Astyanax mexicanus: one gene and its partner. The protein of the gene in region 1 interacts with the protein of each later gene in a pairwise test. Links are inferred from orthologs where the notes say so. Each region holds a gene or a part of one and is shown on either strand. Other genes may lie near its edges.

Region 1 (8,409 bases):
CTCTGATGACATGTTTCCTCTTTCCAGGTTGTTGAATGTGGAGCTACATTATTATTTATTTCCTCGATTCAAAGCTTCGCCCTGTTTCATCTTAAAGTTCTATGTTAAATTTTTTACTCGGCACATTAAAATATTTTCAGTTAAAAACATTAAATCTACCCTGAGAAATAATATTACAGTAAAACCACACTACACTATTATTAATCTCCCCATAAAGTTCTCTAATTTACTTTATTACCAGACAGAGGATCCATTTTTATGCTAGATAACTTCATGTTAATGAGAATTTAAACAGAATTTAAAATGTCGAGGTCAGCAATTTTTTTTCATTTGTTGTACGATGATTTGATTTCGTAATTAGAATTAGAAACATATTTAATGTGTATTTTTCTCTTTCAGGTTGCAAATTATGGGATTGGAGGACAATATGAACCTCATTACGACTCTGCAGTGAGCTATACAACTAAAAATTAAAACTAGAGAATTTTAATACTCTATTATAGTTGTGCAGTTTTTCTGAATATGTCAGTAAATATATATTACAGTATTACGCATAAATACAGTATATTTTAACTGTATTATTGCTGTTTTTACCCAACAGGTGAATAATGACTCTTACTTTCAGCTCAGAGGAGGAAGAATCGCCACTGTGTTGATTTATGTAAATATTTTATTTGGTAATATTTTAGAGCATATTTTCAGTTTAGTTTATTTGATGTTTAGATAATTAATTTTAATATAAATTTCTCAGCTGAGTGATGTGGAAGTGGGCGGAGCTACTGTGTTTCCAAATGTTGGTGCGGCGCTGCAGCCTGAGAAGGTCAGAAAATCTTATCAAATAATTTTATTAGAAAAATACAATATAATACATCCAATCACAAAAATACCCCCCCCCCCCCAAAAAAAAAATACTGTCAGTACTGCTTTTTTTAAATTAGAAGATAATAATTAGTATATTTATTATATTTAAGGTTGGTTCGCATTGAGACACATATATTCCACATGTGGTTTAGTACAACTTAGAACTCCAAGTACTTTCTTTTCATCACATTTTCTAATTTCTCATTAATAATTATTAAAATAAACTTTATTTATATACCACATTTCCTACATCAGACATGTAGCTTAACGTGCTTTACAGATTTATATAGTGGAATATATGTAAAATAGGGAATGCAGATACAAAGTCCAGCTATTAAACACAACTTATTATAAAAATAATTCAATTTTTTAAAGGTAAGACAAAGCAGATCACTTAATTCAAGGGGAATAAGAGCAGGTTAAAATAATAAAATGTAGAGAGTAAGAGTCAAAAATTGAAGTAATTTAGAGAAATGGATAATAAAAGTAAAAAGCATAAAGATAAAATAAATAACATTTAAATAAAGATAAGTAAATCAGGTCATTAAAAGCTTGATTGGTTTAAAATTCCGTGTAGTCGGCGCTCGTTTTATTCATCTGTACCTCTGTAACTGTTACTCAGCATGACCCTAAACTACAGTTTGACCAAACAAAAACATGATAAACTATGAGGGGCTCTGAGTGGTCCAGCGGTCTAAAGTTCTGCCACTATGATCTGGAGATCGCGTGCAGCTTGCCATCAGCTGCCGGAGCCCCGAGAGAGCACAGTTGTCCTTGTTCTCTCTGGGTGGGTACAGTACAGTAGATAGCGCTCTCTCTTTCCCCTCATCACTCCTAGGGTGATGTGGATCAGCACAAGGCTGAGTCTGTGAGCTGATGTATCAGAACCGAGTTGCTGCGCTTTCCTCCAAGCGTTAGCGCTGTGATGCTAATCGGCAATGTTACAGCATCAGCAGCAGCTCAAAAAGAGGCGGAGTCTGACTTCACATGTATTGAAGGAGGTGTGTGCTGGTCTTCACCCTCCTGGTGTTGGAGCATCACTAGTGATTGGGGGGAGTCCTAATGAGTGTTAGGGATAATCAACTGATAAAATTGTGGAGAAAAGCAAGATAAAATTAAAACCAAAAAAAAACATAAAAATAACTTGAGATATCTTTCTGAAATATTTTTTTTTTGTAACGCAGGGTTCAGCAGTGGTTTGGTTTAATCTGCTGAAGAACGGAAGTGAGGACAGCAGGACTCTTCATGCTGCGTGTCCTGTGTTTATTGGTAGTAAATGGGGTGAGTTTATAAATAATTCTATAAATTCTGCATCTTGTCAGAATTTTCCTCCATGCTTTCCTTGCATAACTTTATGCCTTTATTATCTTGGTGCATAATAATATAAAAATATAAATAATTTGCACATATATGCACATATACTTTTACTGTATATGGCTGTATATTAGCTAGCAGCTATTACACTTTATACAAACAGCTTCAGAAAATAATGAAATGCATTAATTACATTGAATACATACTAATATATTACTTGAGAATATAACATATAACAATTTTTATATTTAGTACTAGAGTTAAGTATCCAGGGTGGAAAAACACAAACGTTATTGAGATATTCACAGCTATTTCTGCTTCCTGTGAATCTTATAAACAGATGTGTTTAACTGTTTTAAATCTTTTAGTCGCCAATAAGTGGATCCACATCCGGGGGCAGGAGTTCAGGAGGAGGTGCTCTCTGTCCAGATCTGACTGAAACTCAGGAGATTAAACTGATTAAACTCCTTCAATATACTTCCTCCCACAGCGCAGAATCACTGCTCACCGCTGGTCAGTTTTATAGTTGTATGTTTTGGTGGTTGAATATGTAATATGCAATAAATCATCATTGCGTAAATCATGAACTAATAATAAAACCTGTCGATTATTGATATTATTTTGCCTGCTGTGGTGTGTGATAGAAAACAGTGATATTTCTTTAACTTTAGAAAGTAGAACAGTGTATTTCACCAAAAATGAAAGAACTTTCTGTATTTCCATTTTTCTACAACAAATGATTTTGTACAATAGAGACCCTAACATTACTGTGAGCTGATTGGTTGGTGAGCTGATGCTGGAGTTGCAGGATAAATGTATTATTAAAATATTAGTTTCTGTCGTAACTCAAATGATGCAGATGTATAATCAGATACTGTATTATACTATATGAGGACAGAATATTAAGATATTGATAATAATAATAATAATTGTAAGCATTGGTCTGTCCTGCAGAGTTTTAGTCAGTATGTTGGTGTTTGGACACACACGCACACACACACACACATACTTATATTATAGTGTGTGTATACAGAGGTCGATTTAAGCGTGTTTATTGGTAGAGTATCGATCCGCGCGGTAAGATCTGTAGAGTCTCCGCGGTTCTGTTAAACCCGGTTCTGCGCGCGGTCAGATCCCCGGTACCGGGATGATTATATATAGAGATATTTATATATATATTTGTATATATGTATGTATATAGATAGAGAGATATACAGTGCTGGGTTTGTATTCGGTGATACGGTGAGCTCATCCTCAGCGCGCGGAGGGCGGGGCTCGCGGCGTCACTACAACCCCTCTCTGCAGAGATACAGGGTTTTATTTCCCGCCCGTTTTCCGCTTCCCGCGCCCTGATTGGCTAATAGCTCAACACGTCAGAAGGACTGCGCGTGAATAACAGCCTCCTCAGAGAATAGATAAATAAAATCACAGCACTAAGTACACTCCTCACATTATTATTAATATTTATTATATTTTAATATGAAACACTGAGGATACGACACTTTAATACAGTGTAAATTATTTATTTTACAGCTTTTATTACAGTGTAAATTTATGGTTCCTCAAAATAATTCTAATATGTCTAAACCACTGCAACAGAAGTAAAACTATGTGATTATTTTGTGATCACCATTATTATCCAGTCCTGCCTGAACTTTCTTGGTTGTGGAGCTCATCAGAGTTTCACAGGTTATATCTGGATCCTCCTTTACTCTTTCATGATAATCACGTAGCTGGTGGATGTTAGAGATCTTGGGATCTTCCACTTTCTGTTTGAGGATGCCCCACAGATGCTCAATAGAGCAGTTTTCTTCTGAGAGGTGAGTTTGTGTTTGCAGTTGTTATCGTGTTGAAAAACTGCAATACAGCCCAGTAGTTTCTGAAGGTAAAACACAGGCGTGGTATTGGGGGGAAAAGTGGATCTGACTACCCAGGGCCCGAGTAGGGAGCGGGGCCCATGAAAATCCTGATTTGTTTTTTTGTTCAAGTTTCTTGTGTACTGGTATGGATAGGGGCGCACTGACATTGAGAGTGTACAGGACCCAGAATTTGCTGCTACTCCCTTGAGGTAAAGGATCACGCTCTGTGTCAGAATCTTACAGCACATGTTGGAGTTCAGCTCCCCAGTGCTGGCAGCTCTCATACAGCCCTACACCATGATGCTACCACCACCATGCTTGACTAGGGACAGTTGTCTTGGTACTCTTCACCAGGACACCACCACTCATACTGGATGCCATCAGAGACAAACACCTTTATCTTGATCTCGTCAGACTACAGGACACGGTTGCAGTAATCCAGGCTCTTGGACTGCTCATCTTCACTAAACTGTTTGCAGGCTTTTTTTTTATTTACCAGCTTTAGAAGAGGCTCCTTCTAGGAGGGTTTAATGCAGATGGAGTTGAGAGGAACCCATCCTGATAAACTGCTGTATGAATATCCATTGGTCAGTATGAGAGAATTAAACCCAAAACACCAAATTTAACAGCCCTGATCCTCATTCTAATAATAATAACGAGTCACATGACACAGATGCACAATTTGGCCATTTAATTTGTATCAATTTTGCAAAATAAAAAAAACATTTTCTAAATGAAGTTTTCTTTGCATTATTTGAGGTCTGAAAGCTTTTTTATTTTTCATTTTCTGTAAATAAATGCTCTAAATGAGAATATTTTTATTTGGAATTTGGGAGAAATGTTGTCTGTAGTTTATAGAATAAAACAACAATGTTCATTTTACTCAAACATAAACCTATAAATAGCAAAATCAGACAAACTGATCGTTTTGAAGTGTAAACACTGAGAATAATGTGCTACACTAAAGATCCACAGCAGAGAAATAACTGGCCAATAGCAGCGCAGGAGGAAGCAGCTAACCGGCCAATGGCGGCAGTGTGGGCGGGGCTTGCCGCAGTACAGGTGTGATGGGAGGACCGGGGCTGCATTGTGCGGCTGCTGATGCTGAGCGGGTCGGGGGGGGTCGGTTCTCGCGCTGTGGATCCGGGTTTGGGTTTGAGGTCGGCGGGCCTCGGTTCTCCGGTTCTCCTCGGTTTTCGGTAAGCGGCGCTTTTATCTTTTGTTTTACTGTATTATAGGTACATTTGTATCGTCGCGCGGGATATCATTTATAGAACAGGATACATTGTATCGTTATCACCGTTAGAACATGGCTCCGGTGAGGCTCGTGGGCTAACCGGGGGTCGTTTACGCCAACGGGTTTCCGCGCTCTGAGATACAGTGTATATATTTATATCTGTTTCTTACTGTATAAATCTGAATATAACGCGCAGAAATTATAAGCAGACTGTTATTAAAGCGCGCAGGAAAATATTGTAGCACGTATTTCAGCATCCGGGCATTTTTAAAGCGCATCCGTACCGTTACCCAGCAGGCCGCGGTTTTAGCGTTACGTTACCGTAACAAATAAAACAGCAAATCCGCCGCAGATTCAACATATAAACCCACAAACTGCAGCATGAGAATACAAAATATATCATAGCTGTCTCTATATCAAGAGTGGTGTTTCCATATATGTTATCTATTTATAGCTGATATATTATCTGGATATATCTAGATATTCGTTTATAACATATATGAATGAAATACCCATTATAATATTTATATGTGTACATATTGTAAATATATATGAGGCATATTCTTATGGTAGATCATATATGTAGCATTTCTATGATACATACCATACTGTATTTTACATACATGACCATGCATATATATATGGGCCAGACATATGTCAATTTATGTAATATATAAAGAGGTATATTATAAAAGGTTTTGTATATAGTTTGCATATTTTCGTACATATGTGTTTTTACTGTGTATGACCATATATTTAATTTATGACAATCTAATATATGTTCATACTGCATATTATGTTTGTGTAAGTTTCACATCAGATTCCCACAGTGATGAATTATAATAATATGCTGGTATTAAGGGCTGGGCTGGGCGTTATGGCCCTAAGATAATATCACAATATTTCAGTGTGTTTTTGTGTTAAAAATATTCTTGTCAAACTTTTAATACTTTTTATAGTGTAACAGTTTTAAACATTAAATAGAAACAAAGTAAGTTTTTTTCTGTTTTGTAAACAACAGTAACTTATTAAAATCATATTAATGTATTAAAAGAGGATTAGAATCTGATTTTTAAAAACACAAAACACGATAAATTCTGCACATCATGAGACTTTAAATACTGTGATATAAATTTGTTCGTATTTTCCAGCACTAATTCCTGGTATTTTATTATTTAGGAGTATCTTCAGAAACACAGATACATGAAATGTGAAATATCGAGTATCACAGAATCACAGTATCGTGATAATATCATTATCATTACCTGCTGTGTGTTCATGTGTGTGTAATAAGTGGGGGTGTACGCTCGGCTCAGCGCGCCTGTGTTACCGAGATAGCGATGAACGTCTGACTGTTGGCATCTGTCTAGGTTGTATTCAGTCAGTGGAGCTCCTGTGTTTTCTGTTACCAAGATAAACAAGATAAAACTCCAGAAATGTACCTGAACACACCTCATTTCCAGAACACCACGCCCATCAGTGTAGATATATTCAGAAGCTCTGCTGCTGTTTAAACCAGGCAGGAGAAAGGGGGTAAGATAGCAATGAGCATCACGACAAGCCTTACAAAGGGTGTAAGATAGATCCCAGAGTACTGATCTAAAGCCTCTTTGTACTTTAGAACAGCATTGATGGTTATTTTCCAGATGTGTAAACTAAGCTGCCCACAACTCCAAACCATCAGAGATACAGACTGAACTGATACTGATAACAATCTGGATGCTCCTCTCTCTCCTCTCTCTCCTCTCAAGTCGACAGAGCACAACGCCTGTTAAAAGAGTTTCAAAATGTCCTTAATCTTTTCAGCAGAACCGTGTTCAGTTAAAAGTTTGGCTATTTTTTATTATTTAAAAATGTTCTGTATTGTAGATTAATACTAAACTCATCTAAACTATGAAGAAAAATATTTATTAACTAAACAAAAAAGTGTTAAACAAACCAGAATATTGCACCGAGTGGTCCAGTGGTCTAAAGCGCTGCCACTATGAGCAGGAGGTCGCAGGTTTGAATCCCGCTCATGCAGCTTTACCATCAAGCTGCCGAAGCTCAGAGTGAGCACAGTTGGTCCTGCTCCCTCTGGGTGGGTACAGTACAGTAGATGGCGCTCTCTCCCCACATCACTCCTAGGGTGATGTCTGCAGCACAGGGCGTCTGTGAGCTGATGTATCAGAACCGAGTCGCTGCGCTTTCCTCCAAGCGTTAGCGCTGTGATGCTGCTCGGTAATGCTACAGCATCAGCAGCAGCTCAAAAAGAAGCGGTGGCTGACTTCACATGTATCAGAGGAAGCATGTGTTAGTCTTCACTCTCCTGGTGTGTTGGGGCATCACTAGTGATAGGGGAAGTCCTAGTGAGTGGGTTGGGTAATTGGGCGTGTAAATTGGGGAGAAATGTGGAAAAATTTGAAATAAAATTATAAACAAAAAGAGAATATGTTTTATGTTTTTCTTCATAGTAGCTCCTTTTGTTTAGATGATCAGTTTTGAACATCTCTGCTGGATTTTCTCAGTCAGTTTTATGAGGTAGAGTCTCCTGGAATTCAGGCTTTCAGTTAACAGCTGTGCTGAACTCATCAAGAGTTAATTACTTGAATTTCTTGTCTCTTAATAAAGTGTTTGAGAGCATCAGTTAAAGTAAAGTAGTGAAGAGGTAGAGTTACAGGTATACAGTGAATAGGGAATATTTGAGTAATGTTCTAATCCAGATTATGAGAAGCAGCAACTACTCAACTAAATAAAGAAAAATATTTGAAAGTGAAGGTCAATCAATTCGAAAAGAAGAATTTCAGGAACTTTGAAAGTATCCTTAAGTACAGTCACCACACAGACCATAAAACTCGTTATGATGGCCCTCATCAGGACCACCCCAGGAAAGGATAGAAGAGCGAGAGTTTCCTCTGTTGTACAGGATAAGTTTATCAAAATTACCAGCCTTAGAAACCACAAGTTAACAAACAGCTCCCCAGATAAGAGTATCTAAATACTTCACAGAGTATTTAGGTTTGTTTAACACTGTTTTTAAGTTTCTACATGATTCCTTATGTGTTCCTTCATAATCTGATAGATCACTTCACTGTTCATTTACTGTGTAGAAAATGAAAAAAATAAAAACACTGAATAAGACGGTTTAATCAGATTTTT
Region 2 (8,154 bases), on another chromosome or scaffold:
AATTTTATAAAAAGCAGTGCTTTTACAGCCCTGTTTTCCTTAAAACATTTCCTAATCTCTCCTCCTCATCTGAGTTTAATAGAGTTATTTATTTCTAGTTCTGGTTTGGTAAATTACTGGTAAATGTGGTAAATCAGGTGAGCTGCCGACGGAACTGAACATAATATACACATGCTGGCTGAAGGAAATCATCCAGGAGAAATCGGGAACTACACGTTGTTTTTCAGCTTGGCTCACAGGATAGAACATACTTAGTTAAAAATGAGAATTCCTTGTTACATTTTACTGTTTGTATGTTTATTTGTATCTGTTTAAATCATATGTGGTAATTTTTTTTTCAGGTAAAAACCCTCGTATTGCTGAGATGGATCAGTGTAATTTGCTTTGGTGCCTAAAACTTTTGCACAGTACTGTACATAGTGATATTAACCATACAGGACATTTTGTCAGATTTACACCCTGGAGTAAAATGATACTGGGACAGAATGCTTCTAAATTAAATAAAAAAAAATAAAAGTTGAATAACGAACACATTTGCAGGTTTTCATTCATTTTGCCCTTTTTTAAATAAATCATTTTTGTTTGTTTAGTTTAAATTATTCAGCACTTTTACTTCCATTCAGAGCTGAATATGTCTGTGCATCCCTAATAATAGGTAAATATAAACAGATCAATTAAATAGAGATTAGATCCAACCACTAATACTCTTGTCAATAGTTGCAATCAAGTTCTAGTTACTACAACAAAAGCGACAAAAAACTCGTACACACATCTTGGCACTGGAACTAGTACTGTATCCCATGACTTTTGCCATGTCCTATGGAAGCTAAAGCATGTTGCACTGACCTGCAGGATAATTCACGTCATCTGACCAGTATAGAAAGTCAGTGTGGTATTGTATATTTAAGTACAAGCCAATATAAAACAAGCAGACATCAATCCATCAATCTATTCAACATACTTCAAACCAAACAAATCTCTCTATCTTTTAAAACTCATTATAATGCATCCCCCAGTACAAAGTCATATTTGAGATAACATTCCAGTTGTAAGATAATAGGTTCTGGAAGCACTAATATAATATACTTCATAGTAGGTTGCTAAATGTCGTCTGCAACCACATAAAGACAGTTCTGTTTTGTTGCATGGCCCTCTGAAACCATCTGAAATGGATACGCATAAATCAGGCATGATGTATATAAATACGCATTAACATTTGGATGCATGCGGTAATAAAAGCTCTGGGGATTTAAAGCCATCTTTTAAAAAGAGAAAAGAGAAAAGCTAGGCCTGGCTTCAAACCCATTTCACATCACATAAAGGAAAGAAATATAATGTTATATAAATATATCCTTTATCTTCCAACTCAGACCATTTCAAAAACACCTTGCCACTTGAAGAGTGATTCTGAAACTTTTTAACTGACATACCAGAAAAGATCCCACTTTTTCTGAACAATGTAGCATTAAAATAAGTAAAACTAAGCAAATCTCAGAAATCATTAAACAGAGGAATATAAGAGTGATGTGTGACAACACAGTGGCATCCTCTCAGACCCTAGGTTACTGCTTAACACCTGATGTGTGTACTTATTAAGCACCATTTAGCACTTTTTTGTACCTGGGTATGGACTCTGTTGTGTATGCTTTTTGTGTTACTTCTTTATTAGTATTACTATTATTTTTATTATTTGTGTGCTGTTGGACAAATTAATTTTAATTTTAATAAAGTATCTATCTATCTATCTATCTATCTATCTATCTATCTATCTATCTATCTATCTATCTATCTATCTATCTATCTATCTATCTATCTATCTATCTATCTATCTATCTATCTATCTATCTATCTATCTATCTATCTATCTAGGTTACCGTATTTTTCGCACTATAAGGGTAAGGGAATAAACATCTATTTTCATACATAAGGTGCACCACATTATAAGGCATATTTTATGGTGTTGCAATGTTTTCCTTCTAATTCAGCAGGTCTCGCTGCTGGGGGGGGCAAGACCAGTAGAGCTAAGCTAAGTTAAGTAAACAAAACTGTTATTCTTAAAAAAAAAAAAAAAACATTTCAGACAGAAGTCAGCTAGTTCATGCTAAGTGAATTTAAGAGCAATTTATTTTAGAAACTGAGGAGGAACATGACAATTACAAGTATAAAATTTACTACAATAAAATTAAATAACAAAACTGCACAAATTAAATAAAGTCACAAAATTACATATTTCACTTCTCTGCATATCTCTGCATTCTGAGTACATTAGTAAGAAACGCTGTCTCTTTTTTCCCCACAGTATAAAAGACGAGCACAAACTCAGATGAGCATTTTTTTTTTTTTTTTAATCTTCATTTTTGTTTTTTCAAACTATCCGCGATCTCCCCAGACTCTGTGTTACAACCAATGGAACTGCTAGGATCAGAATTACACATAAAAATAGGAATGCACTCAATGTTTAGAAAATAGTCTGTTCGATTTCACCCCAAAAAAATAAAAAATAAAATAAAAAATAGCATTACAAATTGTAGACCTAGGGCGGCGAGTTTCCCAGCTCGAGTTTTCTAAGCTCTGCCACTATGATCTGGAGATCGCTGGATCGAATCCCGGTCATGCAGCTTGCCATCAGCTGTCAGAGCCCTAGGAAAGCACAATTGACCTTGCTCTCTCTGGGTGGGTAGATGGCGCTCATTCTCTTTATCACCCCTAGGGTTTTAGCCAAAGGGGCCCAATGGGCTCAGCACCCCAAGGGTGATGTCAATCAGCACAAGACGTCTGTGAGCTGATGTATCGGAACCAAGTCACTGTGCTTTTCTTCTGAGCCGCTGGCTACTTGATAATGCTGCATCAGCATTTCGGGGCCTCACTATTGTGTCAGAGCATCACTAATGACTGGGGATATACAGCTGAGTAGCAGCTAAATAAATGGGACAATCGACCTAGCTAATTTGGGGAGAAAAATGTGCGAAACTTTATCTGAAATCTAAACTCTAATTAGGAATACCATCTTAGGATCCCTCGCATGTTGCCAGTGGTACATGTACCACAGTTAGTAACCCAATCCAAAATTATTTTAATCCAAATGCTTATTTAATTCAACAATGTTCCAGCCGTAATTACAATTTATAGGCATATTCACATTCATAAACACCTAAATTATGCTCATGTGTCACAGATCAATACCACAAGTTAAAAAGCCTTAATATGTCACAGCAAAGAAGGAGAAAACGCAGCACAACCAGCTCTCAACACACCTGGAACTCACCAACGCCATCAACAGCACCTACAGCACTCTGAAACTCACTGAGCTGGTGCTCCGTCACGGAGGAAGAACCAACCGACATGGCAGAAGATCCCACAAAGTAAAGTTCAAGCTAGACTAGAGCACAGGGGGAAGGTACACTGTGATCTTCCTGGCCTCTTCTAATAAGCCCTGTGATCAGTGGTGGCTCAGGAGCTATTTCTGGCTCACTGGGATGCCATTCCCCTTACCCTGGCACTTTTACTTACCGAGAAACGTGTGATCCAAGGTAAACAAACACAAAACGAAACACGGCATCAGACGCAGGAGGATCAGATGAAGACGAGATACAAGGGCAACCCTACGAGTCCTATGAAAAATGAGAAATTAAGTAAACTGAGCTGAAGACTCAGGCCCAACTAACAACTCTCACTCTCTCATTAGTCAGAGAAATTCCTCGGGGGTGTGCAACTCTAAGCCTATTCAGTGGCATTGCCCTGGATTTGCTTCTAATTTGGCACTGTCTGCGCGTTGTGCAAACTAACACACAATATCCCTTTTGACAGCAGTCAGTTTTAGGCAATGATCTGAACCAGAGTGTTCCTATTGATTGGCTGTCTTTGCAGGGATTTGTAGCGACACAGTGACACGACAGAAGAAAGCTTTTTCGTTTTGAGCTGGTTTAAAGTTTTAATGACATAATTGTCAATGTGAGTTTGAACAGCCGGACCGGCACCATGAGAAACACACGTGAACATCCACAAAAATAGTCCTGGTTACAGGAAAATTGGAGCTTAAACATGAGATCTGCTAAAAGACATTGCCTCACACCAGTGTGTTCACTCAGCGGCCATTAATCTAAATTTTGAATGAATTAAGGACAATAAAAACCTGGATTAGGCCTGTCACAATAATCACATTATCGACTTATCGAACAATAAATGGACACTACATCAATAATATACAATAATCGTGATATTGCCTATTTGTATTTATTTGAACGTTTGTTCACATATATAAACAGAGTAGGGCTGGACCCGAATATTCGGGTATTCGGATATTCGTTCGTTGAGTAGGTATTCGGTTTTTAATTTTGGTATTCGGATATTCGGTTTTTTTCTCCTTTCCAGAGTTCCACCTCACTCTAACCACTTCTGTTCTCGCGGGTCCCGTCAGAATATCTTGCGCACGGGACAGAACTGAACTGTTATTGGCTGGAGCGGGAGTTTAATCCAGACGATGCGGGAGCAAATTAATAAATAGTTAAGAAAACAATAATATGTAATAATTGTAAAAAAAAAAAAACCTAAAGAAAACTCTCAACGCGCAGGATGGACCGACACACACACGCACACACCGATGGTGTTTGGACTGGGGTAAGGAACGGGACCACACTATTCAGCGCTGCTGTTTTAATAAATATATAAGTAAATTTGAAGCATTAAATGTAGTTTATTTAATTTACATTAGGAACGTGGGGCGGGAGCGGCAGAAATGTGTATGTGGCGGGCGGGCGCGGGATTAAAAGAAGCAATTTTTTTGCGGCGCGGTAACGAGACAGAAACGCGGGAGCGTGGAAGAGTGGGTTTAAAAATCAGTCTCGCGCAGACCTCTATTATACATGATAAAAAAAAAATGCAGGCTCTTCGAAACTGATTTATATAATAAAACGTAAGGGGTAATGTGGCAACAGTAGGGGCTAAATCGGTTACAAAAGCCTGGCCTACAAAAATGATGTCTGAACGAATTTCCTCTTATCTAATATAATTTAAAATGGTTTAAAAATATAAAATAATTTCTAAGCAAACGAAATATTTAATTTTGAGCTTATAGCCCAAGTGCAAAAATACAAAATCAGTAATACGGCTATGCCCTGCACAATGCTTAAACCGAAATAGACCAAGTACAATAACGTCATTAACAATGACTTTCCTCTACTCTAATATAATTTAACATGGTTTAAAAATATAAAATAATTTCTAAACAAACGAAATATTTAATATTGAGCTTATAGCCCAAGTGCAAAAATACAAAATCAGTAATATGCCCTGCACAATCCTTTAACCGAAATAGACCAAGTACAGTTTACAATGACTGTCCTCTAATATAATCAACAATGTTTAAGAATATAAAATACTTCCTGAACAAACGTTTTTTTTGTTTGTTTTTTTAAGCAAATAGCCTAAGTGTGAAAACACAAACAGCAATTTACTGGGCTGGCTTGCGCAGCGGAGAAACCGTGCAGCAGCAGGCTCGGTGTGGGGCAGCAGAAATTCCGGGATGAAAACACAAAGAAATCTGGGCTAAAAACACAGAAAAAATATGGGGTGAAAACACAAAAATCCGGGATAAAAACACCAAAAATCCGGGGTGAATATGTCTCGTCGGTCAGAGCAAATTGAACATTTTTCAGTGGATTAAAGGGGCCGTGATTTGCTTTTTTTTTTTTTTTTTTACCTCTTTTTTTAAAAACGAATATTCAAATATTTGCTTCGAATCAGTGCCGAATATCCGGAGCTCAAAAAACGCTATTCGGGCCAGCCCTAAAACAGAGAACAGTATTTTAGCCAGTCATGCTGTAAAAAAAATAATAATAATAACAGCAACTGCATACACACAGTGTGTACTGCAGTAGGTAAAGAAAGAAAAGAGTTTACATTTCCCAGACTATGGTTATTTAAAATTGTGCTGTATTTAAAACATTTGTATAAACGTCAGTGACATTTAAATGGTCTTAAAATTACAATACTGTTTATCGCAATAATTTCTGAGATAATATATCGTCCACAAAAAAAAGCTATTGTGACAGGCCTAGCCTGGATACAGTTCCATTCCCTTACATTCTATAGAAATGAATCCAAAAATGTTTACCATGTTGTCAAATTTGCACCCAGAGTCTACACAACAGAGATCAGAGATGAAAAAATGCACTCTTTTGTCATTAAAACATATGGGTCTGGTCATATGAAGCTACAGGTCATACTACAACTAGCCAGCAGAGGCACTACACCTGTGGTGGCTTCATATTTGAGTTGCCCAGTCCTTGTTAAATACAGTCATTGGTATGAATGGGGAGGATCATGTCAATTTCAAAATATGTTACATAGTTTGTAGTAGTGCTGGGTGGTTTGACCACAAATGTCGGTATTCTGACGTGTTACGGTATATCACTGTATTTTTATTTTTTATTTAATACAGGTTTAAGATTTACTCTACTGTTAGGAGTACATATAATATCAAACATCAAATATCAAAATAAGGCTTTGATCAGTATTAGGTTTACTGTGTCCCACAAAATAAAACAATATATGAAGAAATCAGACTGAATTAACAAAAAACAGCTAAAGAACGTGAGCAACTTTAACACGTCTTCCTTTTTAAAAATAGCTAAATATTTTAAATAGTTCCATAAACACTATAAACGGACCTAAAATACTCAATGTTTAAGTCAAAAGAGATATTTCTCAAAAGCTCTATTACACAAGTAAGACACAAGCGTAATATCAAACTACTATATGTTATTATTGAAGCCATTAAAGTCAAGAAAAAAATTACTGTAGAAAATGAAGGTCAGGTAATCCAACACATTTTAAAAACTCAAGTGCAGTCCCAAGGACCATCAAAAGTCTACAAAGTTATGATGAAACTGGCTCTCATCAGGACCTTCATATGTGTTCCTTTATAATCTAGATGACTTCAGTATTCATTTACAATGTAGGGGAGAGAATAAAAACATTTAGTGAGAAGGTGTCCAAACTTTTGACTGTTACTATATTTATAACTAATAATCCATTGTAACTTCTAATACATTCTCAGACACATCAATAAGGAAGTCAGATTTTTGGCCTCAGTGTTAGAAATCAGTGAATCAGCTTTAAACACATTAAACAGGTGGGTGGTGTGTATTTACTATGGTGTTGCTGGTGTGGTTTTCTACTGTGGTGCAACAGAAGGAAGGCTGTTCCTATTGGTCAGAAGAGGGAGCTAGTGCTGCAGATATCTATCTCTCTATCCTCTAAACCACAACCTAACAACCCACATATAACCCTGCTGCACATCCTGTTAACATCCTGTTACTATTCTCACCGTCTTTCTGTCTTTACAGGGTGAAGTTAAAACCCATCAGTAACTTTATTCTATATAGCTTTTTTCCCACAGATTTTTATTTATTTATTTGAAGGTTATTTATTTTTATATGAAGGTTCTGTATATGAGAAAAAAGCGAGAACATACACTTTTTTATTAATAAAGATATTTCAGGTGTTTTTTTTTGTTTTGTTTTTTTAAGTGATGCAATAGAAGAACATATTTTGTTTCATAAAATTGCATTAAATAAGAGAAGCGCCTATACATCAAGTAAAGGTGATTAAGACATCAAAAGTAAATAAGTAAGTAATTATTTTAATAAGGGTGCAAAAGTTTAGTTTTCATCTTAAGTGTATGAATATGTCTCTTCCTAAAGACAGGTTTCATAAAGCCTTATATTAGTATGTTTAAAGTTTTTATAAACCTATAATATAAGACATTATGAAAACTCTCTTTATATTCACACACTTGTTTTGTTTAACGTAATGTATATTGCTGTTAGCATATGTATCGTAATACAAACTTTAAACAATCACAATATATTGCTTTGCTTCCAGTATCACAATTTCCTATGATATACTGAATCATATACATATGTATTGTGTATTTTAAGTATTGCATTGTTCGGTTCTAGCCAAAACACAGCCCTATCTATCAAAAATGGTACAATATATATATGTATTTATGTATACAAATATTCCAGATATGCATAATTTAAGATATGACAGATATGATATAAACTATTGGCAAACAAATCATTATATTATATCATATTATATTATATTATATTATATTAAGTTATTTGCTAGTGGATAATATTAGCATGA

Evidence for each region.
Region 2: the proteins of jakmip2 (region 1) and zgc:103755 interact in binary tests that used the Homo sapiens proteins (3 or more experiments, as listed by UniProt). The two-hybrid records come from large-scale screens. The link is inferred for Astyanax mexicanus from reciprocal best matches to the Homo sapiens genes JAKMIP2 and CLIP4.

The regions. Positions count from the first base shown.
Region 1 is NC_064424.1:118,637-127,045, reverse strand, and holds the start of jakmip2 (janus kinase and microtubule-interacting protein 2), read left to right. Parts: upstream 1-5,122; 5' UTR 5,123-5,233; intron 5,234-8,409. Other genes in the region: prolyl 4-hydroxylase subunit alpha-1, read left to right, coding at 400-450, 602-661, 752-820, 2,046-2,142, 2,544-2,614.
Region 2 is NC_064421.1:10,919,489-10,927,642, reverse strand, and holds the start of zgc:103755 (CAP-Gly domain-containing linker protein 4), read right to left. Parts: upstream 3,445-8,154; 5' UTR 3,345-3,444; coding exon 3,266-3,344; intron 1-3,265.